Alligator mississippiensis: one gene and its partners. The protein of the gene in region 3 interacts with the protein of the main gene of each other region in a pairwise test. Links are inferred from orthologs where the notes say so. Each region holds a gene or a part of one and is shown on either strand. Other genes may lie near its edges. The genes, in order: THAP1, RBM12B, RBM10 and CPSF7.

The links.
Region 1: the proteins of RBM10 (region 3) and THAP1 interact in binary tests that used the Homo sapiens proteins (3 or more experiments, as listed by UniProt). The two-hybrid records come from large-scale screens. The link is inferred for Alligator mississippiensis from reciprocal best matches to the Homo sapiens genes RBM10 and THAP1.
Region 2: the proteins of RBM10 (region 3) and RBM12B interact in a two-hybrid assay, tested with the Homo sapiens proteins (3 studies listed by BioGRID). The link is inferred for Alligator mississippiensis from reciprocal best matches to the Homo sapiens genes RBM10 and RBM12B.
Region 4: the proteins of RBM10 (region 3) and CPSF7 interact in binary tests that used the Homo sapiens proteins (3 or more experiments, as listed by UniProt). The two-hybrid records come from large-scale screens. The link is inferred for Alligator mississippiensis from reciprocal best matches to the Homo sapiens genes RBM10 and CPSF7.

Annotation. Positions count from the first base shown.
Region 1 is NC_081826.1:155,713,901-155,721,051, forward strand, and holds the start of THAP1 (THAP domain-containing protein 1), read right to left. Parts: upstream 3,236-7,151; 5' UTR 2,163-3,235; coding exon of another isoform or gene 2,102-2,162; coding exon 2,031-2,101; intron 1,359-2,030; coding exon 1,163-1,358; intron 1-1,162. Other genes in the region: transcription factor JunD-like, read left to right, coding at 6,544-7,151. UniProt on the Homo sapiens protein: DNA-binding transcription regulator that regulates endothelial cell proliferation and G1/S cell-cycle progression.
Region 2 is NC_081826.1:43,993,585-44,000,793, reverse strand, and holds the start of RBM12B (RNA-binding protein 12B), read right to left. Parts: upstream 3,086-7,209; 5' UTR 2,981-3,085; intron 2,944-2,980; exon of another isoform or gene 790-2,943; 5' UTR 744-789; intron 46-743; 5' UTR 19-45; coding exon 1-18. Other genes in the region: TMEM67 (meckelin), read left to right, coding at 3,359-3,548.
Region 3 is NC_081831.1:27,613,493-27,621,767, reverse strand, and holds the start of RBM10 (RNA-binding protein 10), read left to right. Parts: upstream 1-5,110; 5' UTR 5,111-5,217; intron 5,218-5,456; 5' UTR 5,457-5,556; coding exon 5,557-5,573; intron 5,574-5,838; coding exon 5,839-6,028; intron 6,029-7,948; coding exon 7,949-8,137; intron 8,138-8,275. Other genes in the region: NDUFB11 (NADH dehydrogenase [ubiquinone] 1 beta subcomplex subunit 11, mitochondrial), read right to left, coding at 1,092-1,221, 1,420-1,550, 3,101-3,313. UniProt on the Homo sapiens protein: Binds to ssRNA containing the consensus sequence 5'-AGGUAA-3'. May be involved in post-transcriptional processing, most probably in mRNA splicing. Binds to RNA homopolymers, with a preference for poly(G) and poly(U) and little for poly(A).
Region 4 is NC_081825.1:177,663,561-177,671,629, reverse strand, and holds the start of CPSF7 (cleavage and polyadenylation specificity factor subunit 7), read left to right. Parts: upstream 1-4,955; 5' UTR 4,956-5,063; intron 5,064-5,366; 5' UTR 5,367-5,415; coding exon 5,416-5,469; intron 5,470-8,069. Other genes in the region: SDHAF2 (succinate dehydrogenase assembly factor 2, mitochondrial), read right to left, coding at 1,484-1,614, 2,039-2,148, 4,527-4,723, 4,800-4,820.

The DNA of each region.
Region 1 (7,151 bases), on a different chromosome or scaffold from region 3:
GAAACCCTCAACCCTGCCCGGAGGGGAAGGGAGAGGGGCAAGGGCAGGTCCTGACATCAAGTCTTACCAGAGGCTGCTTCAGGCTCACTATTCTTGCTGGAGGTAAGTGGAGCTTGGGGGTTGCACGACAAGGCTGGGGGGGAAAGCTGGGTAGGGGCTGAGGGAACAGGGAGGTTTGCAGCCAGCTGGGCACTCCGGCTGGGGTGAAGTTTGCAGCCTCCCCACTCCTGGCCAGAGTGCTTGGCCAGCTGCAAACTGGAGTGCCCAGTCGACTGCAAACCTCCACACTCCCTCAGCCCCCAGCTAGGTACTCCCTAGCCAGGAGGTGAGGTTTGCAGCTGGCCAGGCACTCCGACCGGGAGCAGGGAGACTGAACACGCCCCTCCCTACCCCAGCTGGAGTGCCGGCCAGCTGCAGACTGAGTGTCAGAAATGCTGTGCTCCCTACCCTGCTTCCCTCCCCCAGGCCCTCCGGAGCGCAGCGTGTGCAACTGGCACGGCAGGGCACAGTAGGGCCACACAAGAAAGCTGCCTGCTGCTGCAAGCTCCATTCTGCCCTGGCCACACTTCCTCTGTGTACATGGGGGCAGCGCAGACCCGCCCTGTCCCCACCCCCCACAGATCTGGGGGGCATGGGTCCCCCCTGGCTCCCAGGACTGCACGCTGCCATGGGGAGCTAGCCCTGCCCAAGGCAGGCAGGCAGCAGTGGGGGGAGCTGGCTCATGCTCCTACTGTAGCAACTGCTGCCTTCCGCTGGGGGCTGTGGACCTGGGTCCCTGGCCCCATAGCCCTAGCAGCTGTGGGCTCTTCCAGCAGGGCTGTGGGACAGGGGCACAAGCAGGACTGGGGGACAGGAGTGAGAGACACCAGCAGGGCTGTGGGGGGGATGTGGAGGGCATTTAATTTTAACCACAGATTTTGGGATTTTTATCAGAGAATTTACAATTTATCAGAGAATTGGGGGGGGGTTATAATGGAAAACCAGGATCCCTGCTTATAAGTTGACCAAAACTATGATCATGCACAGGGAACAGTCTCCTTCCCACAGTTCTCCTTCTTGAGGTTAAAAAAAAAAAAAAAAAAAAAAAAAAAAAGCATGCATTATATATCTACATATGTAAATTTGTGTCAGTCACTCCTTAAAGAGGAGTTTTCATGGTTACCTTTTCACTGGGTTCAGTGTAACAGAATATTGTGGGCACGGCGTTCTCTTTCAGGAGCTTATTGTTACACTCCCTTTTAAAGCAATCAGGAGTGAAGTGTTCTGAGCAAATGCTGCTGTACTTTGTTGGCTTGAAATTTTTCCTTTTCACAGCGGTTTCCCATTTCTTACAGAGATCAGGCCTTGTGAGAGGAAACCTGCAACCAAGAGGCACTGTCAGCTTCCTGTTGGGACTCTCGTTACATGCGAGCATGGCAGCACATGTTGGACACTACTATGTGCGCCGCCACTACTTGACTCGCCGGCCAGCCGCTTGTCCCAGCAGCTGGCTCCAGGCACCAACAGGGGACATCAATTGGGCCACATGCTGGGCCTCGTTTGAGGCACATGGATTTCAGAGACCTAAATGCAGGCGTGCATAGGTATTCATGACACGCAGGCTACCACCACCTGCCAAAGAGCACCAGAGGGTAGGCTAGAGATGCACCTCTATAGACTAACGGCATCAGATATACATACACACATCCATAGGCACGTGCACATATGTACATACATACAGACATGTATATAGACATGCATATACGCATGCATGTGTAGGCAGAAGTTGACTCGCCTGACCATAGTGCATGGGTGGGGTCACACTCCCCCCCACCTTGTGGCCGAGAGGCATGCTTAGTGCGGCTGCCAGGGGCCGCCCAACACCCCTCACGCGAGGTCCGTCCCGCCTCCACGTGGGGCTGCGCGCGCACCCGAGGCTCCTGGAGGTGACAGGCCCCGCCCCCAACCGCCGCCGCGCGCCCCCTCCCCCCGGCCACCGGGCGCGCGCGGAGCTGCGCACTGGCCCCGCCCCCCGCACCGCTCGCGCTCACTTGTGGAAGGAAATGGGCTTCTCTTTGTCGTATCGGTTCCGGCAGCGGTAGGCAGAGCAGGACTGCACCATCCTGTCGCCCCGGGGCCGCCCGTGCCGGCGATGCTTCGGCCCGGGGGCGCGGCGGACGCATAGGCCCCGCTAGCTCAGTGCCCGGCGCCCATCCCCCCTCAGCGACCCCCTAGGAGCGACATAAACAGGACGCGGCCTCTCCCAACTCCAAGATGGCGGCGCCAGCTTCAAGGAAACTCTCGCGAGAGCTCCCAGTCGCATTTCTCCATTGGTTCTTTCCTCGCGCGTGGGCGGGACCTTTCCGATCTCCCAGCCAGTAGCAGCAGAGGCTCAGAGAGGACGCTGGCTGTAATGGCCCCGCCCCCTGCCTATAGCGGGACCCTGCCCCCACGCGTCCGGCTCGCGCCTCTCGGCCTCTGCCCCGCCCCGCCCCGCCCCGCCCCGCGGGGGGGGCAGCCGTGCACGTGGAGCGCGAGCGGGTGCCTTATTGTCGAGCGTCGCATTCCTGCCCTGGTGGTAGCTGCTGCCCAGCTGCTCCTAGCTCGCCGATCTGAGTGCTGCAGCTTACGCGGGAAGGGGGACACTAGCTCCTTCCTACGGTCAGCTGGTAAAGGAGGGCACGGGGCTGCACTGCAATGACATGTTCTGCGATGAGCTGCAGGGCACACAGTGGAGATGCTTCCGCGTGTGAATTGGGAGTAGGCTTTGAGTATTGCTGTCCTAGAGCGAGGTGGGTGCGAGCCTCGAAAGCCCCGGGCGTGTTGCAGGGGCGGGCTCCTGCGAGGAGACCCGGCTGCAGGGAGTAAAACTGGATATTCTCACCGAAGTATTGCCCTGGGTTTTGGGGGAGATGTTCCCTTCGGGCTTCAAGTGAAGGGTCAGTTTTTCAAGCCTTGACTTCCACAGTTTCCAGGGATTGTCATTCTGGCTTGACTGAATACAGGTAGTCCTCGACTTTGAGATGTTTGGAGTTGCAACGAATGGCACTTACGTTTATAAATTGACACTTTCCACTTTCTGACATCAGTTTCAACTTTACAACACTTGATTCAACCCCACGCGAGCAAAAAAGTTTGCTGCATCGCCCATCTCCCTGGAGAACATCTGTCCAAACTTCCCTGGACATTTTCTTTAACAAAGCAGACAAGACACCAGAAAAACCTGCAGCCAGGACTCCTGAGAAGACTCCAGCCAAGCGCCCTTCAAAAAGTCCAAGCAAAGTCACCTCAAATAAGTTCTTCCAAATCAATATGATTGCTGTTTACAATATAAACACATTAATGTAGCTACATTATTCATCTATAATTGATTGAGTACAAAATTCTGGGTTATTTTGGGTGAAAATAGGGTATCAGGCCTTGGTTCAGGAACTGATCCCCCATTTATAACATTGTTTCCTATGGGAAAATTAGTTCCGAGTTACCATGTTTCGACTTAAGACGCTTTTTTCAGGAACCAATTGTGTCCTAAGTCTGAGGACTGCCTGTACTCTACAAAATCTGGGCACTACTTTAAAAAATAACAACTTGTGACAATATTAGTATACTGTACTATTGAAATTGGGAATGTGAAGAACCTATGTGTCTATTCCATTCACCCAACAGCAACTCAAGAACAAATTTCAGCAGACCCCAGTAACAAATCTAAATAAGATAGACAACATGGTTTAAAATAAGCATCTCTGTTGTTTTTATTGGGGGGAGGTCTCTGCTCTTTCATTGGTGGGATTCCCACTCCAACAGCTTAGATCTTCAGATTGTGGTGGGAAGCATTTTTAATGTAGCAATGACCAGCAGTAGCTTGTTAGGATGAATGGCAGAGGTCCATCTCTAATGCCCTCTGCGGAAGGAAAATTCAGCTACTTCCTAGCCCAGGATTTACTTGTAAGGGTCTGTCTCAAATCAGCTCTGTCTGTGATACAACTCTTCCCTGTTGAGGAGGTAACTAGTAGTTTTCTGGGACAGCCCTGCCACACCTGCTGGGCTTTAAGAGACTGGTGATGTGACTTAGTGCCTCCCACTTTATGTAGATGGAACGTGGTAGCCTGCTTGTTTGGACCTGGACTACCTTTTGGGATACCAGTTCTCATTGTGTCTATAGGCTCACCCTCTTTCTCCAGAATATCAATACGATTGATCTTTCAGGAGAAACTAACGTCCTTGGTAACGTAATTTGATGTGTATCCTCAAAATTCTTCCATAACCCACTGTTTCTTTTCCCCACAAAACCTGCATCTTCCCTGCCGTAAGCACCAGTTTCCCTAAAGCCCCACAATCTCCCTGGTCTCTGCCAGACCTGTTTTCTTCTGTTTTCCTTTGCACTTTTCTCTATCAAGCCTCCAATTCTCTAATCCTGTATTTCTTGAAAGTCCCCCAGCCAATTCTTGCTGGTCTTTCTGCTTCCCTAGATATCTGCTTTCCAGGTACCACTCCAAGGTGTCCCCACCTCGCAGTGCCTTTCCTAATATCCCTTTTCCCCTACATTTTCTCAGAAACTCACAATGACCCTCCTTACTCCAGCCCCCTCAAGCTCTCATTTCTCTGTTAATACCTGTCATACTTCCTGTTTCTCAAGGTCTCTCATCCTCTTTCTATTCTGAGTCTCATTTAGCTACCCTTCCCTAGAGTACTCCCTAAGATGAGCTACAAAGGGTGATACCCAGCTGCTGCCCAGCATTAAGGCAGACTACTGCAGGTAGCAGGAGGCTGGGGTATAACATGCTGACCCAAACTACTGCTGCTGACTAGAAAATTTTTCCTCAGACTCTTTGACTCTTGCAGCCCCTAAAGGAATGCTCCTTTATGTAATGTTGGGTGAAGAGGAAAACCATTTGGCAAGTCAGGCAGAGGGCTCCTTGCTTGTCAGCCTCTTCCCTTCCAGTTGATTTTGGAGCAGAGCCAGGAGGCACAGCACCATAGCCCAATACCACTGAGCAGCATGCAGGTGAGCATGAGCAATGTGGGTGCAGACAGGCTGAGCAGGCGGGTGCCTGGGCAGAAAGGGAGCCTGGTCCTGAGACAATGAGTGAAAGTGTCCAAGGGTAGTGATGGATGACTTTTTGGCCCTGTGGGTCAGATGAGTGGCCTGAAGCTGGTCTGTGGGCGAGATGCCTTGCAGTGTTGATGCCAAGGTCAGGCTCCAGTGCCCAGTGCCAGCCTAGCCCTGTGCACCTGATCTAGCACACAGAACCACACTATCCAGCCTGCAGGCTCCCCACATGTCCCAGGAATTTGGCAGCAGGGGAGCAACAGTTAATGCTGCCACTACTACCAAATTTCCAAACCCCTGGGAAGCCCTGGCTCCAAGGGCCAGAGCCAGTTGAACACCCCTGTGTTGGGAGAAAGGATGAACAGATGTCCTGGGGGGGGGGGGGGGGTCTTGTGACAGGAGAACAGGTGGAGAACTCACAGGGAGCACTGCTCTATTATTTGTGGATTAGTTATAGCACGCCCTGATGGTCACTCACTCAGTGAGCTAAAGGGAACACGTCAAGATGAGCTGTCACCTTTAACATGATGGCTTTAAGCATGAACACTGCCTGCCCCTGGAGGCATGGTGAGCTCCCAGAGGTGGTGGGGAGGAGGGTGGCAAGTGCCAACCAGTGGTCGGCAACTACCTGCAGACACTGGTGGCAGCGGCCAGTGGCAATTGTGGATTGCCCGCAGACGCCACCGGCAGCGTCGGTGGCAAGGAAGGGTGGCGAGTGGCAGCCAACACTATCTGTGGCACCTTTTGTCGGGGTGCACCACCACCCTCGGGGTGTATGTGCACCTGTGTGCACCCCCTACGTGTTGCCAATGGCTTTGAAATCCCTGAACAAGACTCTGTCAGCAGAACTCGACAGAATCCAGCTGTCCCACCCAGCAGTTACCTGGGGGCTCCGCTTCGTGTGTCCCCAGTGAGGACAAAAGGCCAGAGTCTCCAAATGTTGGGAGCTGAAAAACAAAACTGTTGAAGTTTGAAAACGCCCAGATGGGGCAGTCCAACCAGCTGCAGTCAGAAACATTTGTAAAAGAACCCCCTCCCCCCAAAACAAAACTCACAAACCTGCATTTTCTCACAGGAAAAAAACCCATCACTGAGAAGTTTCTTAACCCACTCCCCACAGGTGAAGGCTTGCCAAAGGTTTCCGGGCCTGGCCCGAGCAAGCTGAGCCCCGGGCGCCCTCGGGCGGGGGCAGCGCGCTCGCTTCCTCCTTCCAGGCCCCGTCGCCCCTCCGCTCGCCTTCCTCGTGTGCCGCGGGCGCCAAGCCAGCTCTCTCCTGGGCTCGCCGAGGCGGCGGGGTGGGTGCCGCCGACGCGGCAGACGCGGAGCCGCGTGCGAGGGCCGGGCCCGGCGCCGCCCCGCCCCTGCCGGGGCTCTCGCTGCCGCCCGCCAGCCCCGCGCAGGCGGCTCCGGCTCCGCTGGCCCCGCGCGCCGGGCCGAGGCGACCCGCCCCGCGGCCGAGCGCACAGCCCCGGCCCCGGCCCCCGCGGGGGGTCGGGGTCCCTTCAGCGGCCACGATGAGCGGCGGCGGCGGGAGGGCGGGCGTGAAGATGGAGGCGCCCTTCTACCCCGAGGAGGGGCTGGAGCTGCTGCCCGACTTCGTGCCGCTGCACGGCTTCGGCGCCGGCGGCCCGGGCGCGGAGGCGGCGGCCGCGCACAAGCTGCTGCTGGGCGCTGGGAAGAAGCGGGACCTGGCTGCCGCCTCCCCCGCGCCGCTGCCGGGGCCCTTCGCGCTGCGGCCGGCCGGGGCCGGGGTCGGAGCCCGCTCCGCCGCTGCCCTGCGCCTGCTCCCCGCCGCCGCCCCCCCGCCGGGCGCGGGGCCCCGGGGCGGCCCGGAGGCGGCGCTGGTGGCGCCGGGCGCCCCGGCCGAGCTGCCCCTGCTCAAGCTGCCGCCCGCCGCCGACCTGGAGCAGCTGCTGATCCAAGGCGCCGGCCCCGCCAGCCCCGGCCCCACCGCCGCCGCCGCGGGGCCCTTCCTGTACCGGCAGCAGGTGACGCAGGAGCAGGAGGGCTTCGTGGACGGGTTCGTGAAGGCGCTGGCCGACCTGCACAAGCAGAACCAACTGCTGGGCGCGCCGCTGTCGCCGCCCGGGCCCTGCTGCGCCGCGCGGCCCGCGCCGCCTCC
Region 2 (7,209 bases), on a different chromosome or scaffold from region 3:
ACGGATGACTACAGCCATGCTGCGCTCAACTCACAGCAAAATCACCTGCAGACAAAAAGGTACACATGATAGCAAGTCTTTAGTACTCATCTATCGCAGTATCTAAGCTCTTAAACTAACACCTTTTTAATGAAAATCCCTGATTCAATCAAGCTTTATGAAATCAAGCAAGAAGCTCACAAGTTCACCACAATCATTGAATCCTGTTTTAATCTTGAAGTAGATTTAGTCAAAACCATTAGCTATTCCACCTGGAAGTATGCACAATCTGTCAATATTCCCTATCTAAAGGCAACAAGATCCACATGAGTCAACTCCTCACCATCCACGATAAATAAGGACCATCTCAAGTCTTTCTTGGCATGGCTGCTACTTGTCAGAGATGCTAAGAACCAAAGTCTTCTCTTTGTGTTAGAGGCACTTGCTATCACAGCACTGAAAAAACTGAAAATAAAAGATGAGGGGAAAAAAGAAGAAAAAAAAAACCCCTACATCACCAAAAAAGCATTTCAGTGACTGTAACGAATGTTATGCTCTCAGACAAGTTGTCTACCAACTAACCAGTTCTGCTTACAAATGCGTATATATAACAAACAATGCAACAACGTTGTCTCTCTTCTTGCAGCAGCCAAATGCATTCAGGAAAGCATTTCCTATTTCCCAGTCATAAAGTCTGTGAGAAATGGCTTTGCGTGGTCTTTTGACAATACTGAGCGAGAAATGTTAGCCTTTAGGCAGCTTACCTGGTTCTGCTTGGAAGACCTGATAAATTCTGTAAAATCAACTTAACTGTGGAAAGAAAATGAGACATAATTAATGGCTGATATCACATCTGGTTAAAATACTGTGCCACATTGCTATTGTACATCCATATCAATAGCTAATATTAACAGCCAAGCACTGTAATGAAACCACGATTTGGGTTGTTATGGAGAGGATTCCTTCCTTGTTCCAAGAGAAATACAAGTCAGACAATGTAATTCAGCAAAATGTTATGCCTTGCACTTTTGCCTGTGAATCCATTTAGAAGTAAAATATTCAAAGGTAAAGTTGCTTCTGCAAATGATGAAAACATGCCAAGATTAATGGGTCATCAATTGTGCCACACTGAACTGTTCACAGGAAACAATGGCCAATAAGGTAAAAGGAAAAACCTCTTCGTTTAGTCCTTGAAAGATGCATAAGTCCCACTGAAGATTACATTAAATGTCCAATTCTTCTGAAATCCACCTGCTTTTGAAGTGCGTGACAGAATATGCTACTCACCACCATGGTATTCTTGAAGACACATAATGAAGAAAACCATAAGACAGAGCAAAAAAATTCAACAAGCAGAAATTCCGGAGAGTACAGGAAGTTACAAATTAAACTCATTTGTATTTCCCCCCAAATACCTACTGTCCTTCAATCACAGAACCAAAAACACTACCTTGAGAATCTTAGACTTATCCTGGTCTTTAAACAATTCCTATAGCATGAAAGCCATAGACTACATAGCATATTCCCCTACAGAAACAAGGTAAACCTATGCATGGAATTACCATCATATCATTAGCAATAATAAACTCTGGCTGACAACTGTTTAAGCATACAACATTATGCAGCAAGACTTGCAACAGACCAGGGAAGAGACAGATCTGCACAGCCACCTCATAACCAGAACAGCCCATTGCTTCACCTGAATTAGCACAAAAAATAAAACCAAAAACGTTTCTGTAACTGGCAAATCCAGTGCCAATTTCTAAATTTGTTACATCCTTGTTTTGGAAAAACAGCTACAAGCTAAAACAACTGCATGTCTGAAAATCACACTTCTAGATAAAGAGCTTCCCACATCTGTACAGCTATCTTCTCAATCGATAAAATGGCAACGCCAACATGCAAGGGAAGAATTCAACAGGAAAGCCAATTTTCCCAACAAACCTTCGACTCGAAGTCAAATCCGTATGCCTGCATTTCATTTGGTGGTCTGTAGTATGTCAGCAGTTTTCTACTTCCCTTCTGCATTCCCATACCAATTATTACCCAATATTCTGTCTTCACCCCAGAATCAGCGACGTTTCTGTGACGATAACTATCAAGATCCCTGCGATACATCCCAGGCCTAACATACAGCTACTATTCTTTAAACCAGACAAAGATCACAACAGTAGTGAAACTGAAGTTGTCCCACAGATAAAAAAAGAGCCAAGTGCAGCCAATGAACTTCCACTAGCCGTCCATCCATGCAACCAGCAGCTGCAAGTGCATGCAAGGCAACAAGTGCTTTAAAGGAACGACCCAACAAAGCTACAGGTAGCTTAGAAAGCTTTTTTCTTTAAATACCTATGAACAGATCAACACTTGAGCAAAGCCTTCAAAGGAGGAGGTTGAGAGAGACCGAGCAGGAAGGGTTTTGTGAAACCCTAGGTAGCCACCGGCTCCAAGCCTAAAACCCTGCGTAGCTCAAGCTCCATTTCTGATGCCACTTCACAACGCAGGCAGCGATCTCCTCGCACGGGAACGGGGCCCGGCCCACAGTGCCACAGCCGGGCCGCCCATCCTTCTCCTTTCCGCAGCAGGCCGCCAGGACGGAGCCCCACACAGGAGCCAGCGGGGGACGCAGCGAAGCACCAGCGCCCGGGGCTGGTGTGAGAAGTGGCCGACGCCGAAGCAGGAGGTCCCTTTCCCGCAGCGCGACAGCCGCGCGCTCCTGCTGCCCGAGGCTCCCGGCTCCCGTGCGCAGCCATTGGGCTCCCGCCGCCCCCGTCCTCCGCTCCTCGGCCCGCTCGGGCCGGCTGGCGGCGCATCCCGCGTTCCCGCCCGGGCCGAGAGCCGGCGCTGGGGCCGGCGGGGAGAACAGGCCGCTCCCGCCCTCCCCCGCCTCTGGCCCTCTGCAAGCGTGGGGCGGCCGGTCGCCGAGGAACCCCGCCCCGCCCCCCTCCGAGCCAGCAGGCGACGCGGCCCAGCGCGAGCAGCCGCCTCCCGCCGCCGTACACACCGGTGCCCACTACACAGGCGCGAGGAACCGTCCCCTCACTCAGCGCCCAAGTCAGGCAGCAACAAGATGGCGCCGCCCCACACCTCGCCGCATCGCGCAGGCGCGACCCCCTCCCCTTTGACCTTCCCGCCAACAGACGCGCGAGCCTCCAACCGCTTCCCGCTAGGAGGAGGCGCGTACGGCTTGCGTTGCGTCACTTCCGGTGCTAACTGCGCGTGCGTGCTAGGTTCAGGTTTCACTACGCATAGGCGGGTTGCATCCCGGACGCGCGCAGGCGGCCTATAGGGAGCCGTGATTGCTACAGACGGCGCGCATGCGCTCCGCAGCGACGTCTGGCTACGGACCTCCCCCACCCCCGCCAGCGGGATCCCGGTCGCCATGGCGACGGCTGGGCGTTGGGCCGCCGTCGCGCTGCTGCTGCCGCTGCTGCTGGGCGCGGGGCCCTCGGCCGGGCACAGCTTCTCCCTGCCCCTGCGGCGGCCCCGCGACTGCGGCGAGCCGCGCTACTTCGACACCGCCAGCCTGGCGTGCGGGGCGTGCGGGCCGCACCAGCGGGGCAGCGCCTCGGGTGAGCGGTGAGGTGCAAGGCGTCGCCCCGCCCGCGCCCTCTGCTCAGGGGAGCTGCCGTGCGGCTGCCGGCCCCGGCCCCTGAGCGCGTCGGGGGAGCCCTGGAGATGAGACTTCTCTGGGGCGCCGCGGCTTCGAGCTGCTGGAGAGGGGAGAACAGGTCCTGCCCGGGAGGGCGCCGTAGCGGCACGGCGTTGCCGGGTCTTAAATATGAAATGATCCTATTGGAAGCTCAAAATTATTGTATTGGCTGAAAAACGATTGTATGCTGAAAATATGCACATAAGTATGTAAATAAGTCTTAGCCAGGCAGCGAGCAAGAACTGGGTCATCAACGCTGAAGCATTTCTTTATTTTGAGGCAAGCAGTTGTAAGCAGGGATCCTGTGGGAAAACGGAGAAAACAACGGATTTTCCCCTTTACCGGTGGAAAACATGGATCTCTCATGTTTATCAGAGAAACCTGAAGATTTTGCAGTTTTGCGAAGAGCGCTCTGCAGGTGGGCTGGGGCGGGTGGGAGGAGGGCGGTCAGGCAGGGGGCAGCGTGTGCGTGTGTGCGCACATAGTTGCTGGGCAGCCTGGAGAGCAGCTCCTAGGTGTAGGTGCAGGGTTGGGGGAATAGAGGCCTCCCATAGGGAGGGCAGGGCTGGTGCTGCTGTCCCAGCCGGGCAGTGCATGGGGCGTGTGGCCCTGGGCTGCAGTGTGTGGCCACAGGGCCTTGGTGGGGAGTAGCATGAGGCCACAGCTTGTCTGGCGGGTGAGCAGAGTAAGGCCAGCTCCTGCCGCTACGCACACTCCCAGGAAACAGGGAGGACCTGTGCCCCCCTTCCCCCCCCCCCCCCCCGATATATATGCAGGGTGGGTGCAGGCTGCACACTGCAGGGTCAGGCTCCCACCTTGCTGCCCTTCCCTGGAGCATCTGCAGCCCGACAGGTGCGAACCAGTGGTTCAGGGAACGGCAGGGCCATGCAGGGATCTCTTTGTTGCTGCGAGATCCGCGCTGCCCTAGTGACATGCCCTCTGCGCAAGGCAGCAGCAGGGGCAGCACCATGGCGTTGTGCCCCTCGCTGCTGCCGCATGCGCTGGGGATGCATTGCCAGGGCTGGGTGGGGCTGTGGGGGTGGCAGTGATTGGCACAAGCAGGGCCGGGGGACCGTGGAAGGAATGAGGGGCACCAGCAGGATTGGGGGGACAAGTGGCCTTTCATTTCAATCGCAGATTTTCCAGGGTGTTTTATCAGAGAAATTGCAATTTTTTTGTTTATTTATTTATTTCTTAAATCAGGGAAAACCAGGATCCTTGGTCATAAGGAAGTGCTGGCAGCAAACCCTAAAGTCAGTTGAAACTCCCTGAGAGTGACTTGGGTTTAGAATTTGCTGCATCAATTAGCTGCCTCAAAAATTATCATACATTTTGAAGACTTCTGCTGTTATAGATCGTACAAGGGTTGAAATTATCGTACAAATATGATAATTATACTCTTGGCAACAATGAGCAGGTGGCCCACAGCGACAGCATAGCCTCCATCTATGTGCAGTTGGGAGAGCAGAATAGGCAGGCACTGAGTAGGGATGGATTAATCTGGGGGCAGGGGGACAATGATTCGGGCTGGAGGGCTCTTTAGGGAGTTTTGGTGAGGTGCTGGAGGGGAGGGGAGGCAGTTGATCCTGTCCAGCCTGGCGTCCACCCTGCACCCTGTGCTGGGGGTGCCAGATAATGTGAGCAGGCAGGCAAGGTCTCCATGGAGACCATTCATTGCACTGCGTTGGACAAATGGGAGGGCACCACAGGTGGGTGGGGAGTAGTGTCGTGGAGAGGGAAGGGTGGGCAGGGCACAAGGCAGAGCCATGACCCAGTCCCTGCACATCCCTGCGATGAGGAACAGGGACATGCAGGGAGCAGATCACAGTTCTGCCCCTGACCCCACACTGTCACTGCCCTGTGATCCCAGCCCTAGCCCTGCCTGCTGATCCTGCTCCTAGACTCTGCTTCCTGCCTGCCTGCAGCCCCATCCCATCCACCCAGCTGAGCATAGCCTGCTTGTGGGGGGTCCCAGGCTGATCTCCATGGAGACCCCGCCCAGCTGCTCCATCCACCATCCCTGGCAGTGGATGCACCAGGGTGCCCAGGTAGTGGGGCTGGGTCCACCAGTGGTGACAGCAGCAGAGATGCAGGCAGCAGCAGCCTGCCATGGAGGCTGCCAGGAAATCAAGTCTGGCTTCTGTTCTGCCACTGCCCTGCCATGTGTGCCTGGGCTGGCTCCTGGGCTAGCAGGGCCAAGGAACCTGCCACAGGCTGGATAGAATCCTTTGGGCTGGATCTGGCCTGTGGCCTGTATTTTGCTAGATGACCTCAAGTCCCTTCCAGCACTGAGAAGCTATGGTTCTATGACCCTGGAAACTTTGTTGTATTATTTTTATGTAACAGTCTAGGGCAGTGGTGTTCAACATTTTTCCCTGTGGGAGCTCATGGGCAATGCCTGGTCTGCTGCTCCTGGATAGTAGTTCCTATCCAGCTCCCAGGGGCAGACACCACTGGTCCAGGAGGAGGGGACAGATTGCAGCCGAGCTCAAGCTTGGTTCTGCAGAAAGGGGAAAGAGGCTTCATGGGAGGGCATGGTTTGGTCCTGCAGGGGGAGGGGGCGTGACCCAGCCCCACCTGGGAAAAGTGGGGGCCATGGCTCAGCCCTGTGAGGGAAAGGAGTATGATTGGGGAGGCATGATCAGCCCCAGTCTGGCCCTGCGGGGGGGAAGGGGAGTGTGGGAAGGGGGAAGGAGGCATGGTCCAGGCTGCAGGGATGGTGGTGGCCTGGCTTCGACCAGGCTTGGGGATTTGGCATATTAATGGCTACTGCTTCCCCTCTGACAAATTTTCCATTTGGTGAGGAGCCCCACAGGCCAGATGCAATGGCTGCTTGGGCTGCAGGTTGAGCACTCCTGATCTAACTTCAATGATTTGAAGTTAGATCAAGACAAAACGTAAGGTGTTTGTTGTGGGAGACTCCCTCCTGAGGGGGACGGAGGGGCCAATCTGCCACCCCAACCCCTTAGCCCGGCAAGTCTGCTGCTTCCCAGGGGCCTGCATCCGGGACATTGCGGAGAGGATCCCCAAGCTCCTCAAACCCACAGACCACTATCCCATGCTCCTTATTCATGTGGGCACCAGTGACACGGCTCGGAGCACTCCCAGCCAGGTCATGAGGCGCTACAGGGATTTGGGAGCGGGGCTTAAGGGTCTGGGGTCACAGGTGGTGTTCTCGTCGATCCTCCCAGTCTCAGGCTATGGGCTGAGAAGGGACAGGACGATCTATGTGGTCAACCAAAGACTGCGGCACTGGTGTCGTCAGGAAGGCTTTGGCTTTCATGACCACAGCCCGCTCTTTGGCGAGAGAGGCAGCGAGCTGCTGGGAAGAGATGGTCTCCACCTCTCTCCTCTAGGGAGGAGGCTCTTCTCAGCCAGACTGGCTGACCTGCTCCACCGGGCTTTAAACTAAGCCCGCTGGGGGACGGGGGGACTACCGCCACTGCTGGCCCGCTGAGCAATCCTTGCAAAGCCAGCGGATCACAGCACTCAAGGGAGCCCACCCCAGCCCCAGCCCTGGTAAAATCTGTGGGCAAGGAAGGAGCCCCCCAGGGGGCACTTGTCTGCCTGTACACTAATGC
Region 3 (8,275 bases):
ACACTAAGCCTGGAAGCTCCCCGTTGTGGGGCATCACAGCCAGCCATGTGCCAGGGTCATACAGTGGGGCACAGAGTGGCCAGGAAGCACAGCAGTTGCTGCCCCAGGCAGTCTCTGGGAAAGCTGTAAGTGACAGTAACTCTGATCTCATCCAGGCTCTCAGCCACCCCCCACAGCTGATGGCCAGACTCCCACCTCCCATTTCTGGGCCCCCTCTAGCACTCCAGGTTACCAGCACCCCCTGCTCCCACCCTCCCAGTCACACCTCACTCTGAACCCTAGCATCTGGGCTCCCAGCTCCAACCCCCACCCCCACTCCTCTGTCAGAGGGACTAGGGGCTTTTTGGATCCCAGGGGAAACAGAAGCACTGCCTGGGGGAACTAGGGTGTTCAAGGACATGAGCTCAGGGGAAGGGGGTGCAGGACAGGAAGCAGAGAACAGAGCAGCGGATGGGCAGTGGGCATAGGTCAGGGAGTAGGAAGTAGAACAGCAATTGGGGCATGGAACAGAGACCAGAGCAGTGGGTGGGGTAGGGGGCACAGGCAGGGTGCCAAACACAGAGTAGCACTGGGGCAGGAACTTTCTGTCTCCTGAAGTTCCCTTCTTTCTGGACATTGCATTTCCTGGAACACTTGCTCTATGGCATACAAGGTGAGGTCCCAACCCCTAGCAAGGGTGGGGAGGAGGGGAAGAGGAAGCAGAAACAGCTAAGCAGTAGCCATATTGCCTTCTGGGGTGCAGGGAGGACGACATGTCATATGAGACAATACGGTACATAAAGGACTGCTGTAGAGCCCAAAGCAGCTAGATTCTGTAGGATGGAGGGTGACTAACTCTTTCTCCATGCTAACCCCCTCCAAGGGAACCCAGGTCCCTAGGGTCATAGCCTCCCTGACTCTGACCCCCACACACCACGCTCCCCTCCCAGAGAACCCAGGCATCCAGGCTCCCACCTCCCTCCCCCCACCTCCCACAGAAGCAAGGCATCTGGGCCCCCAACCCCCTTCCTGATGTTTGGCACCCCCACAAACACAGCCAGCTAGGAGTCAGGCAGATCACACAGGTTTATTGGGAAACGGGGGGGGGGCTATCAGTCCTCATCCTGAGGGGGGAACACCAGTGTCTTAGGGTCGTAGTAATTGGGGTCCAGCACAGGCAGCCCCTGTGCCTCTCGCTGCCGCACCAGCCGCTCTGCCTCACGCCGGGCCCACTCCTGCATCCTGTGGGAGGGAGGGGAAGGGGAGAAAGTCAAAAAGGATCCAGGCTCCCAGCTCCCCCTGCCTTCACCCCCCTCAACCCTCTGGCAGAGAACCCAAGCATCTGGGCTCCCACCTCTCCCTGTTCTCACTCTCTAGCTCCCACTTCTCTCCCAGATAACCCAGATGTCCTGAGTTCCCTCCCCCCCCAACCCTGCTAACCCGTTATCCGGCATGTAGTGCATCAGGGTGAAGCCTATGACGATGCAGACGGAGACGCTAAAGAAGAAGACAATGCGCATGTTCCACAAGTCCACAACTGGGTCATCATGAAAGCCATGGTAATCTGGGTTCTGGGGCACAAGGGGAGAGGTGGCATCAGTGGCTGGGGGGCACCACATTCCTCCCCCCGCTCCCTGCTCAGTGCCCAGTCTGCATCTAGCTTTGGGGCAGGGTGGCTGAGTATAACAGGGCATGGAGTCTACTTGTTTAATGCCCAGATGCGCTGAGCTCTGGGATGGGGTGGCTAAGAGATGGCAGAGTATAATAAACCCTGGAGACTGCTTATTCGGTGTCCAAGTACATCCAGCTTTGGGCTTGGGGAAGGGAGATGCCTGCATAGAACAAAGCGTGGAGACAGCTTGTTCGGTGTCCAGATTCACTGAACTCTGGGGTGGAGTGGCTGGGAGATGGCTGAATATAACAGGGTATGGAGTCAGCTTGTTCAGTGTCCAGATGCACCCAGCTCTGGAGTGAGTCCGACTGAGGCAGAGAGACAGGTTATTCAATAAGCACGTGCACCCAATTCTGAGGTTGGGGGAAAGGGGGCAACTGCATTGAACAAAGCATGGAGACACCTTGTTCAGTGCCTGGATGAGTCCAGTTCTGGGCTGGGACAGAAGGGGACAGCTTGATATAACAGGGTATGGAAAGAGGTTGTTCAGTGCCCAGATGCATCCAGCTCTGCAGTGGTGTGGCTGGAAGATGGCTGAATTTAATAGGGTATGGAGATGTCTTGGCCCCACCCCAGAGCTGGGCACACCTGGGTATTGAACAAGTGGGCAGCAGAACATAACAAAGCAAAACAGTGCCTGGATGCACTCAGCTCTGGGGTGGAGTGGGGGGGGCTGGGAGGCAGCTGAGTATAATAAAAACCAGATGCAGTAGCTTGCCACCAAGCACTTGGGAACTGGAGCCAAGGTGATAGAGACAGAGACCCACTGCCAGGCCCTAGGGCCCAGACACCTGGATTCTCTGAGCTTTGGGAGAACAGTGTAGGTGCAAGCAGGGGAAGCTGGGACCCTGGGCACCTGTTTTCTCAGTGAGGGGAGTGTATGAGAGTAGGGGGAGCCCAGATGCCTGGGTTCCATTTCCCAGTCTGAGAGGGCAGCAGGGAGTAGGAGTTCCCACCCTGGGAGGTAGGTCCTGGGAGAAGAGTTGTGCCTGCTTCTTTAAGAGGTGAGGCTAAGTCTGGCTGACCTTGGCAATGCCCTCTGCCAACCCTGGACAGGGGCAGAGAGGAAGGGAAGAGAACCCAGGCACCTGGCATCCCACTGTTCTTAGGCCCCAGCCCTTCACAGGGCTGGAGAACCCAGGGGTTCAGGTTCCCAGACCCCCACACACATCTTATGGGGATGTGCCAGACCAGGGAGCCCCTGGGTGAGGGAGGAATTGAACCCAGTTCTCCTAGGTCCAGCTGCCCCTGCCCCCGCCCCCATTGCCCCTCCTTATTCTTTGACCCCACCCTTTCCCTCCCTGTACTGTTCTGTGAGCCTGCCCCGCCCCCATTGCCCCCAAACACTTTTCTGCCCTCCACTGCCCCTTGGCCTCTCCCCAATTGCTTTGTCTCGCCTCTATACCATTGGTCCTCCCCCAAGCCTTGGCCCCGCCTCTTCGCCGTCACCTTGCGCAGCATTGCTGTCATGTGATCCTCCCTGTCCTCGAGAGCCTGCACGGGGGTGGGGGGCGGCGGTGGCGGAGCCCCCGGGGTCACGACGGCGTCGCCTCTCACGCTGCCCGCGGCCACGGCTCGGCGGGGTCCCGCGGGCACCCGTAATGCCAGAAGTGCCTGGCCACCCAGACGTAACGTGTGCCCGCCGCGCCTCAGCGCCGCCATAACAACCCCGGGCTCCTAGCCGGAGCCGGAAGAGGCGGAGCACTTCCAGAGAGTTTGCTTACGTGCAGGTGGGCTATAGTGGGACTAAATAAAGAACTGGCGGTGGGGGTGGAGTTAAATACTGCCGACTTTAAAATGGGGTCCTTAAAGGGGCATCCAAATGCTGCCTTTGTTACTCAGTCCTATGGAACTGTATCATGTAGGTACTTTTTTATTTATGCCCCTCCCTGGACTGTTCCGTTTTTTCCATCTACCCACTAGGACTGTACCATATCCCCTCCAGGGTCTTAGTAACATCCCCCAAGACCGTACTATCTTTCTTCCCTGTATAACCTCTTCCGGCCTGCACCACGTATTTTTTTGTTTCCCCGAGACTGCACAATCTTCATCCTCATCGGCTCTCCCCCCACCTGGATTTTCATCTTCCCTCTTTCCTGCCCCCTGGACTGTACTGTGCATTTGGTACCCCTGGACTGTGCCATATTTTCTCTTCCCGTCCCCTGGACCGGGTCTACTCGGTACACCTGGACTGTACCACGTTTGTTCCTTCTATCCTTTTAAATAGTACTCCCTCCGACTGTACCTCGTACTTCCCACCCCAGCCCTCTACAACCTTCCCCACCTTCCATACTCGCGTCCCAGCTCGTTTCCTGGACCCTCCCAAGTACCCCAGGACCGAGCCGTAGCCTTGCACAGACCCCAAGCCAGGGGACTCCCAGGTTAATTCCCAGCCCCTGCTGGGCCTGCATCCTGGGGTTTCTCTCCCTCCCCTGGGCCTGGGGACGTGCAGAGAGTGTCCCCTCCGGGAGCTGGAAGCTGAACTAGGGCAGACGCACGACACCAACTCAGCAGGCTCTTCCCTCCCAGCCCACCTTTCTGCCTAGAATCCATTCCGTGTCTCCCAGCTACTTCTCCCTGCCCGACCCTCGGATCCCACTGTGACACACTGACACACATGGATGATACCGGGGGCTGGACGACCAGGAGTGCGGTGTCTGCAAGACCCGACGGGACATAATAGTTCGGTATCTTAGTGCAATGACGTCACTCGGTAACTAAACCAGACCGCTGATTGATGGTGTCACTGACGAAGCACATCGCTGCTACCGGGGAGCATCATCGTCCTTCTCCACCAACGGGTGGTCTGGTTCTGATGACGTTGTAAAAGAACGCTGATGACTACCTCCCGCAGGCTGCGGCGTTAGATCATAAAGTCACTGCAGCACCTCACGTGCTAGCGAGCTCTGCGTTGTCCCTGCCAATCAATTGCGATCTGTAGAGGCCATGGGAAAGCTCTACCAATCACCTGCGAGCGGCTGCTGACTTCTCCAATCATGTAGCAGTGAAGGCGGGACTAGTATACGGAGCGACCTATCTGCTGCAGTCCCAACGTAGACCAGCTTTCCGTCCGGGGGAGGAGCCCTCAGCATGCAGGGGACCCGAGGTGGTGCTGTGGCCGCTTCCACCCAATCACAAACAGAGGGAGGCGGGATCCATTTCCATCCCCGCCCAGCCCAGGAGCTCCACCAATGACAACAGAACGTAGGCGGAATTTCACGAGGAGCCCCATCACCCTCTACTCGCCGGGAGGAGGCGACCACTTCAATCCCCTCAACCAATCACAGGAAGCAGGAGGCGAGGCCTGGCGCGGACGAACCAATCCGCGCGGAAGGGTGGGCCTTCCCCTGAGCGGCGGCGCGACGGGCCAGTGGTCTACCGGCGCGGCGAGACCTGCGGACCAATGGAAGCACGGGGCCGGGGGGCGTGGTCGCTCTTCCCGCTGCCTTCAGGACTCGGCCGCTGGCGCCGCCATCTTGCGCGTCGGGCAGGCGGGCGGCGGGCGGCGGGTGCACGGGGAGTGCGTCCAGCCCGGCAGGCGCCGCCCGCAGCGCCGCGCGGGACAGGTCAGTGCCGGGACGGCGCGCAGAAGGGGAAGGGCGGGGCTTCACGGGAGGGGGCGGGGCTTGGGGCAGCAGTGGGGCACTGGCAGCGAGGGGGCGGGGCCTGAGGGAGGGGGCCCTCCCGGAGAGTCGAGGCATCCGCGCTCCCTCCCCACAACCCCAGAGAACACAGGCGTCGCCCCCGCTGCCCTCAGAGCTGGGGGAGACCCTGCCCTGAGCCCTTTCTCCTTGTCTGTTCCCAGGTCCCGTGGCAGCAGTTTTGGGGGCATCTAGGTGCGTGGCAACGCCCCACTCTCCCCGGGGCCCGGCGAGCTCAGAGGCACTGCACCTGTTTTGGAGGACATGGAGTACGAGAGAAGGTAATCAGCCCCATAGAGCCTTGCAAACTGTTCCCCACACCCTTAGCCCAGGGACTTGCCCTGGGGGTCTGGCTTGGCAGGGTCAAGGTCTGCAGGGGATGGGAGGCTTCCCAGGAGTACCCTGGAGGGATCACAGTGGGTACTGGCCTCTGCGTGGGGGTAGAGCCAGTGCTGGGTTAGAGGGAGGGGGGAAGCCACCAGACTGGAGTGTGGGAATGGTTCTGAAAGCCCCCTGATCCTTCCCACCGCTGTCCCATTTCCCCAGAGGTGGGCGTGGTGACCGGACAGGGCGCTACGGCACAGCAGAGCGACCCCTGGACGAAGGTGGCAGCGAGGGGCGCAGCCAGCGGGATCACGATTATCGGGACATGGACTACCGCTCCTATCCCCGGGATTTTGGGGGACCCGAGCCCCCCACAGACTATGACGACTCTTCGGGGGAGCACAGTGCAGAGGTGGGTGTTCGGGTGCCCTCCAGCATGCCAAGTGGAGGCCCTAGTCCCCTTGTGTATTCCCTCCCATATCTGGGGTCAGACCCTGTCCCCTTCTTCACCTTATCTCTGGGGATAGAGCAGGGACAGGCAAAATATGGCCTGCAGGCTGGATCTGGTCCTTCAGGCAATTTTATTGGGCCCATGGGGCCCCTCTAAAACTTAGAAAATTATTACCTGCTAGTGGTTGCCTGTCTAAAAACTGAGGAGGCACTAGTGGCAGGAGGAGCTGGCAGCAGCAGCAAGGCCCACCTGGCCCTGCTCCACTCCCAGCCCCACTTCACCCCCAGCCCTCAACCCAAAGCTTCTGGCTAGTAGTGGCTTCTGGCCTGTGACCCTGTCCTCAGCCTCCTTCTGTCTGAGAGTGGAAACTCAGGTAAGAACAGGTTTGGATTGGAGAGGACCGCCTGTGATTGCCGCGCAGGACTCTGGCTCCGTGCCTCCATGTGCGGGTCCTGGCTAGAGCGTCAGGAACACCACATGGAGGCATGGAGTGGGCCCAGCCTCATGACACAGGACTTCTTGTGGCTCCTGGCACACTAACATGGCACCGGGTTGGGCTGGCACAGTGCTGCGCTCTGCTGTCTTGGCCATGCAGCTGAGAGCTGCATGATGCCAGACCCAGCCCAACTTGGCCTGTCCTGGCTCAACTGAGCCTGGCAGCACATGGTTCCCAGCTGCATAGCCAGGACTGTAAGATGCAGCAGGAGTCATCCAGGGGCCGAGCTGGGCTGGCTCCATGGCATACTGTGTGGTCCTGGCCTTGCAGCCAGGAATCATGGGGGCTGGGATGGCTCTGGCAGCATGCACATCAGGCGCCAGTCTGGCTGGCGCCTACTGTTCCCAGCTGCAAGGCCGGGACTGCACAGTGTGGGCCCAGCAGTTCCCAGCTGGCTCCTGCTGTGTCCTGTGGTCCCAGTCATGTATCTGGGAACTGCACATTGTAGCTAGAATAAGCTGGGCTGGCTCCATACTGTGCTGTGTGGGACCCAGCCTTGCAGCCAGGAGCCATGCAGCAGAACACAGAGCCAGTTCAGCCTGTCCTGTGCCCTCCGGGCAGTATGCAGTTATGACTGCAAGGCTGGGACCCGAATGGTGTAGCATGGAACCAACCTGGCCTGGCTTGTCTCAGCTGTGGCATGCTGTTCCTGGCTGCAAGGCCAGGACCCATGCAGTGAGGTGTGGAGGGGCCGGGCTGTCTCCCTGCTGTACCATGAGATCCCTGGCCTTGCAGACAGAACTGTGTTGGACTGGGCTGGCCACATTCTGTGCCATGTGGGTCACAGCCTTGTAGCCAGAATGGGATGGGTGGGGCTAGCTCTCCACCTCCCACCCACAACCTCCAACAGCCCCCACGCAGTTTCCCCCCCCCTTCATACCCACACCCATATTATCCTACACACCCACTCCCAAACCACACAACCCCCTACATGTACCCCTTTACATGCCACACACAGTAAGAGCGTATTTTGAGCTGTTATGCTATCGTCTCTAGATATGCTGTGCAAACGCACACAAATCAAGGCAAAAATATACTTTCAGGGGATGGGGCTATACATGTGGCCCTCGATAGCTCAGCAAAACTCGTTAAGTGGCCCTCTAGCCGAAATAATTGCCTGCCCTGGTAGAGGCTTCTCCACTGCTTCTTGCTGCCCCTGGCCCTACCTCCACCATAGGCTCCTCCTGCCTACCCTGCCCTTGGGGACAGAGCCCTCTTCCCCCTTGTCCAGTTCAGGGCAGAAGCTCTTCTTTGTGGGTGAGATCCCACTCTCTGCCTGGGATGTAAGCCTGCCTCCAGCCTGCCTTGTTCTGAGGGGGGATTAGAAGCCCTGCCCTCACTGAATCTCTGACTCCTCCCCCCACCCCCCTAATCTCTCCTTCTAGGACTCCTATGAGGCATCATCAGGTTCAGAGCCACCGCGGAAGCGGGACAGCCCAAGTGAGGTGCTGGGCTTTCCTGGAGACGGTGACTACCGGGATCAGGACTACCGGCCTGAGCCTGAGGAGGATGAGCAGAAAGCCAGCAGCATTATTATGCTGCGCATGCTGCCCCAGGCTGCCACAGAGAATGATGTATGTTGCCCCTTTAAATCCAGACCCTGCCTCTTCTGTCAGCCCCCCCTCTTCTGGGGTAGAGGTCCCATCTCCTGCCCTAGTGCTGGAGGCCAACAGCATCCTCATGCTTTACCATGGAGAATGACGCACTGTCTC
Region 4 (8,069 bases), on a different chromosome or scaffold from region 3:
TCCTGGTGAATTATCCCGTGGCATATGCTGGAAAACCAGAGCCATGAATCTTGCTGTCACAGGCAAGTTCCCGTCTCCATTAATCACAGCCTGCTAATATTCTCTCTGGTGTCTCAATTAGACCTGGCACACAGCTACTGTTAAATAGCAATGCCCCATCCCGGAGGTGACTGTATTTAGTTATGGGTGAATTAAAGCAGTACTGTTAATTGAACAGTACACTTCAGGATCTTCTTTTCCCTGAGCTGTTCTTGATGAAGGCAGCAAGTCTGGTGCATGGTGCATTAGACAGCTGGAGCACTTGCTCCATAGGAACAATGGAATCAAAGGATTCACACTGGAGCAGAGAAGGGAATTGTGTTCACTTAGACCAGAAGCATCAAACACATGGTCTGCAGGCAAGTTGTTTCATCTAGCTCATCAGGCTACCAGAAATTGGTGGGGTATGGCCTGCCATAGAATCTGGGGCCCCTGTACCCTGGTGGATATGGCCATGGGTCATGCATGCTCGTGCCAATGCAGCCTCACATGGCCCACTGCTGGTTGCCCTATAACCACTGTCTGGGCCATCCCCATTGCCAGTCCCTGCTTCTATCTGCACACTGTCCTGGGCAATTGAGCTTGGGGCATGGGGTGAATTTAATACCTCTGTCTTAGACCCACCCAAGAGGGTATTTCCAGTAGGCAAAGACAACATGCCAAACTGGAGTCTACCCAGCATAAAACAGTCAACCACCTCACACAGCAATGTGCCATGGCTTTGATAATGAGTATTCAGAGGTACCATTTGACATTTCATCCGACAAAGTATTCCCCCTTGCACCCTGGTACCATGCTGGTGCAGTGCTAGCAGACAGAATGCCCCCTTCCAAGTCAAACTTCTCCTCTTCTGGTACTTCACAGACTCTTTATTATTGCATTGCAATTGAAAGCCTTTCCTAATATGACTCAGCATTTTACCTCTACCCACAGCCCTCTGCATGATGCCCTTTGGACTATTTGTTGGCAGACTGGTAGGAAACACAGTTGTTGGGGGTAGCTTCTCTCTTTCCTACTTTCAAACCTCCCAGTCAGAGGATGCCAAAATACAGCATACTCCCTATAGTGGAAGGATGCACAAGGAATGGTGAAAATGCTGCAGCCATGACTGAGGTTCCCAGACACACCAGGAGGCATTCTGCAATGGGTCAGAACATGGTCATACCAATGCTCGTGCGACTGTTGCCTCAAGGGGTGGTATACACCATTCAGATGCATGCAACCATTGCTGGGTTGGACTGCAGCACTACACCATGATGGAACCAACCCATTCATAAATTCCAGTGTCAAGAAAAGTGTTTGACTCTTTATTCAGTGGGGCGCAACCACTGAGTGGAGGATTTCATGTTGAGGGAGATCAGCAGTGCAGATTTCCAAAGAAGTCCAGAGCCTCAGCTTCTACTCCCATGGCTGAAAAGATGGTCCTGGAGACAACAGGGCGCCTTCACTTGGGTGGCTCGAAGAGGTACTCCAGGTCTGGCTGTCGCAGCCTCTGCTCTCTGTTCTTGTTCTTGGTGAATTCTTTCAGCATCGCCATCACTTCATTCTGAAACACCTCTGGGGTAGGCTTTGCTTCTGCAAGGAGAATGTCCTTAGGCTCACATCTTTGCCCCTGCATAGTGCCGAGCCCTGATCCACCCCAGAGATGACACAGCCCCGATTTTACTGCCTTTCTAAAACCTAGTTCACTAAATGCTGTGGGACCCACTAGGACCAAGCAGATATCTGCTCCTCCTAACCCCAGCTCAGCTCTTGGTTACAGGAGGGTGCAGGCCCCCACAGCCCACATGAAAGGGACCAGCTGGCAATTAGTATAAGCCTGGAAGTGTGAGGGTTGGGAGCCCCTGCCATTCTTTCAGTGTGACAGTCGCTGTCATGGCTATTCCAGTCCATGAGCTCAGTGGAGCTCATGCATGCCTGTTACCACAGAGGGCTTCCTGCTCTATGTCACCATGGGAGATGGAGCCTCCATCTAGATGGTGCTAGGCTGCAGCTGTACCTGTCGCCCAGTAGTAGATATCCCAGTCATTGCTGGGCTCGTTGATTAGACGGTCATAGAGGTTCAGCTGTTGCTCAGTCATGCGGTGCAGATTCTCCTTTGCAAAGAGGCTATGACCAAGAGAGAGAGAGGAGCTGAGAATTATTAGGAACAGAAAAAGTTCCAGACCAGATCAGACCTGGTGACCCTCTAGCATACTGGCTCTGCAAACAGCAGCCACCACATGATGCAAAAATAGACAAAAGAAACCCTGGAGTAGGGAGGTATGAGAGTACCCACCCCACAACTCATTAGGTCTCTCTACTAGTTGTGGATTAGCTAAAATTCTAAAGCATGAGATTTACTGTCTCTGTCCAGATTCTTCAGTCATCCACCCAGGTAACTGTGGACCTGCTTGGTACACACATTAACACCTGATACCTCCTGGCATCTAGCTATGTTCTTAGCATTTACAACTTCCTATTACAGTGAGTTCCACCAGCTCATTATACACTGGGTGGAAACACCTACAGCTCCTTGAATTGGGTGTGAGTTTGCTTTCAGCTTCATTTCATGCACTTTTGCTATAGGGGGCAGAGAGCAGTAAGGTACCCTGTTGTACTTCTCTTGGCCACTTATTTCATTGACTCTCTCTGGATTTTACAGCTCATTTCAAAGCTTGGGTGACAGTTGAGTCATTCTTGTTTTCCCTCTAAGTCGTGTTACCTCACTCTTACTGGCACTGAACTTCCCCTGCTGTCAAGCTGCCCACTTGTCTCGCTCGGCCAAGTACTACTGAAGTTCCACGCAGCCCTCCCTAGTTTGACTACCTTCCACAAGGACTCTCTGGGGTGGCAACTTTTACTGGACCAACTGCATAGTTAGCAGAAACCACAGACAACCTTTCAGGCAAAAGGTGTCTACTGTGGGGCCGGGAAAGGCCCTGTTACCCTTTTCTTGGATGCCTGTTATTTCACTAACTCCTGTGTCCCCTTTTTTGGCCTGCTTCCTAGGAATGGGAATCTTTGCTTGTCTTCCAGAGCGGTGGTTATCAACCTTTTCAGGCTGAAGGACCCCCTTGATAGGTTCACAGACGCACTCACTGACATGCATACAGATACAGAGACGCGCATATAAACATAGGTGAGTGCACATACACACACAAAGACTCGGGGGGGGGGAAGGAGGGGGCTTGATGCCAGCTCTTAGCTTTCACTCAGTTTTTTGCTTACAGGAAAATAGTAGAGTGATTCTTCTGTTGCAAAGAACTCAGAAGAATCAAAATAGGTCAGAGTGTTTTTAACACCATGGATTCCTATTTGAAATCTCTGGGCTTATTGGGTGAATCATGTTTGCACACCTAACAGTGCTAACACTAACACAGCACCCTGCTTTGAGAATCACTGTTCAAGAGTTTCTTCCTCCCCCAACCCTTCTCACTGCTCTGCTCTAGAGGAAGGCCACTTTGTGCCTGAAGGCTTGCCTAGGACATATAGAGGGGCTGATAAAATGCATCACCCTGAAAACCTTTCACATACTTCCTCACTCATCGGAGCTACATCATCAACCCTCCAACCTGGCATAAATTCAGTAACTCACTACTGCTGGGTGGTTTCAGTCCCTCCAGCTCCAGAATAAATCCATTAGAGTCTGAGACCTGGGGCCCTTGGGTTCCTGGCACACTGGGGGAAGGGGGGTGCCCAGGGGAGACCAAACCCTGGAGCTGGCGGCATGTGGCGGCCACAGCAGGGCCTGTACAGCACTGTCCATGGGGGCCATGGCAGTTGCCCCAATTGGCCCCCCCCAGGGACGGCCCTGTCTGTATCTGCACATCTGCGTGTGTGTCTGCGTCTCTGTGTGCATCTGTCTGTGGGCATGTGTTTTTATGCCTGTATGTATATGTGCACATCTCTGTGTGCATCTGTGCACGCCTCTGTGTCTGCACACCTGTGTGTATCCATCTGTCTGTCTGCGTGTCTCTGTATCTGTGCATGAATATGTGTACATGCACATCAGCACATTTGCATCTGTTCATGCGCTTCTGCATCTGCACACATGCCTGTGTCGGTCTCTGAGTGTGTGTAGGCACATCTCTGTCTGCGTGTCCTCTGTGGGCTTCTGTGCCTGCACATCCATGTGCATATCTGTCTGTGAGTGTCTGCCTGTTGGTGCATGTGCACATTTCTGTCTGCTTCTGCATCTACGTACATACCTCCATGCATGCCCATGTCCCTGAGTGTGCGGTCGTGTCTCTACCCATGCCTGCTTGTGCATGGCTGTGCCTGTGTGCACACACACATCTCTCTCTGCGTGCCTGTGAGCCTGCCTGCGCATGCTTGTGTCCGCATGCAGGAGTGCATCTGTCTGTGCGCCAGTACGCGTGCACGTACATCCCTGCACATCTCCGGGGGCGCCTGTGCATACTTCTGTCTGCGCCTGTGCCTGCGGGGGGGGAGGGGCGGGGGAGGGAGAGGTGCACCCGGCTGTGTGCGCGCCCGTCGCCGCGCACCTGAGCAGCAGGCAGTTCTCCAGCATGCCGCGCTTGCGGCTCTCGTACAGCAGCCGGGCGCGCTTCGTGTCCAGCGGCTCGTGGGGCCGCGCCCGCCAGGGCGGCAGCGGCATCTCCAGCACGTCCCGCCCGGAGCCGCTTCGGGCCGGGGCCGCCGGCGACATCGGGGCGGCCCTGCGGAGGCACAGGCGGCGCAACTGCCCGGGGGGGGGTGGTTATGGGTATGAGCCCGAGCCCGGCCCAGCCTGGGGACCCCCCAGGACCCCACCTCACCTGCCTCAGCGCCGCCGCCATCACGCCACTCCTGCCCTCCCGCACTCTAAGGCCCGGCCGCTCTAACCAACCCACTCCGCCCAGACTCTATGGTGCCACCGCTCCGCCCCGCCCTGCCCTGCGCGCGGGCCGGCGGGCGGGCCGGAAGGGGCGGGACGTGGCGGCGGAAGGGGCGGGACGTGGCGGCGCTGGCTGTGGCGGTGAGAGCGGTTCGCGCGCTTCAGGCCTGCTCGGGACGCGGCCTCCCCTCCGCTTCCCCCCTCGGTAACGGGGCCGGGCGCGGCCGCCTGCTCCCTTCCCGCGAGCCCGAAACTGGGGGTCTAGGTCACACGAGGCGCCCCGAGGCCGTGACCGGCGCGCGGGGCGGGGGGGACTGTGCGCATGCGCGGCGGGGAGGGGAGGGGAAGGGAGGAGGGAGCCGCGAACCCCCCGGGGAGGCTGCGCGGGCGGGGTGGGGGAGGGGCCGCGAGAGGGGTGGGGGTACTAGGGGAGGTTGGTTTTGGAGGGGGATGTGGCCAGGGCAGCCCCAGAGACTGAGGGGCTGTTTCTTCCATTCCCCCCGAGCAGTTACCTCTCTGCCTCCTGTTCCCCCACCCCGGCTCCGGCGCCCGGAAATATGTCGGAGGGGGTGGATCTGATTGACATCTACGCTGACGAAGAGTTCAACCAGGTAAGCAGAACAGGACCCTGAGTGGAGCCCTGTTGGGAGTCTGGCAGCCAGGGGACGGGGGAGGAAGCCGTGCCAAGCCCCACAGCAAGCAGGAAGGCAAGGGGGGCTCTTCCGTCAGCACAGGACCAAAGTTACACGCCAGCATTTTCTCAGGTGTGAAGGTGGAGGTCTAGGAACAGTGTTAGTTTGCTGCAAGTCTTGACTGAGGACCTCCAGGAAGCCTCTTAGTGCAGGTTTTGCTCCTGGTGTTATGGCAGGGAGGGGGGCAACGTTGAGAGGTGGTAGGAGGAAGAGGTTCATGATGCCCCTGTCCAAAGCATTTGCAGAGCCGGGGATGATTTGAGAATCAGATCATCCTGCTTTGCAGAACAGGAGGGAAACGACCTTTGGGTAAAGAGACAGGAAGCAAAAAGTAGGAGAAACGTGTATTGAGTAACCATAACATGCCTGTGTGGGTTGTAGGCATGTAAATACAGGACCTTCCTGGGCTGCCTTGGAGCAATCGGGATCCCTGAAACTTCACAGGTTGTTACCCACTTAGATACCTTTCAGTTAACTGGCTACGAGCAGAGAGGTGCCATACTATGGGAAAGTCTCCTTGTAAGCAGGTAGCTGAGAGTCTATCCTGGATTTATTAGTGGGTGTGTGAATAATGGGGGGAAATTTGAACAAGTGATGGAGAGCGGCAAAAAATGCAGGGAGGGAAGGAGGATAGCTGAACACAGCAGTGCAAGCATGTTGGAGAGTTTTTGGAGAGTTGAGAAGTCTGGACACATGGATGCAAACGTGGCTCTTTGAAGATAAAGATGCTATGTAAATACGAAATCAGGCTGGAAGAAGGAAGGTTGGAGGATCGGTTGTTGCAACAGATTGGGCTTGCTTTCAAAAAGCAAAACATGAGGAACATGAAGTTGCCAGTTTTGCCCTGAGGGTAATACATTTTCTGTTCCAGAAAGGTGATGGGTTATCAAATGAGAATGTGCTTTAGGTTTTTTTTTGGAAATTAACAGCAGCAAAAAGCATGGTGACAAGGGGAATGTGAGAAGCTTTTCAACTGTCTGGGAAGAAACAGAAGTGCTCTCTGGATGAATTAAATGAGAACAAAATTAAGGCTGGTTATAAAAATTGCTAAAATACTGAACTTAAGCCATGTACCAGTAGTCTGGTTGCATCCCCACACAGAAATTGGTCTCAATGTAAAAAAAAATTCTTCCCTGGATATATTTATAGGGCATTGCCTGCAGCACTGGAAACATCCCAGGATGTAGCAGATCCCCTGCAAGGCTCACTCGTTTTTATGCTTTAATGTGACAGGATGGCATTCTGTGTTGTGCCCACTGAACCATATCAGCTCAGAAATACTCTTAATTTGCATGTGTCCTTGCAGTTGGCTTTTAACAAACAAAATCAAGACAATGCGCATGACAGTTAGGAAAGTATTAAACCTGTTGCAGGTATTATCAAAACATGGTATCCTACAGATTTGGTTGGCAAACTTAGTGAGTCGTTGGGAATTTTTTTTGAAAGGCCACTGGAGAAATACCAACAAGCTGAAGGAAAATAAGCATGGTACTGATCAGGGAAGGAGAAGAACTTCACGTTGGCAGTTAAGTTTGGAAAGTCTGGCAGTTCCTAATTTTTAAAAAAGAGAATCTGTTTCTCTCTCAGAAGATAGCAGAGATATGGACATTTGGCTTGCTGGGTTATAAAGGAAAAGTCATACCCCTCATGTTTAATAACAGCTATCATGGTCTTAAAACCTTATGCTGTAATATTAACCCAGGTTAGCTTGACTGAGAATTTTCACATGGCTTCAAAAGTGGCTGGAAAGGTATTAACCAGGAAAGGTAATAAAATGCAAGGTATTGAGTTGCAAGGGATGTGTCTCCTGGGATGCTGAAGGAATTGATGTTGGGTCTGATCTTGCTCAGCTCTTCCATAATTTTCCGCAACTAGACAGTGGCACTAATCGCAGATCCTACCTCAAAAGGAAGGACAGAAATGCTGAAGCCCTGTGGGATTAAGTATAAGCAAAAGGTGAGAACTGGTGCTGAAAACACATCCCTAATAGATTGGTGGGCGTTCTCCAACAGGCAATGTACAGAGTTGAGGAGTAGAGATGATCATTAAGTTACAAGAAGCAAGATTTGTTTGATAAATATATTTTACTGGGAGAGAGATTAGACAAGCTTTTGGGCACAAAATGACAAAAATAAATAGAAATGATAAGTGAATAAAACAGGTTATCAAAAGGGGTTTCACACATCATGGCTGCAATAACATGGCTACAATAACATTACGTTAAGTTCCATTTTCTGTAACTTTTTGCATGACCAGGCTATAACACTTCATTTTCAGTGGGAGTAAGAAATTTGGAAAGCAGTTATGGTTTTGTGGGGTGAGAGTAGCTAATGACAGCGTAAGCAGGGGTCTGTTACCCATCAGCTGGATCCCTGTCCCTTGGCAGAACACCATTTTTGCTTTATGATTCCTGAAACATCTTAGAATGGCATCTAAATGCTCTACAGAAATTGTTCAAATGCAAAATAATTTCCATGTCACAAAGTGGATGGATTTGTGCATTTTTTATTTTAATATAC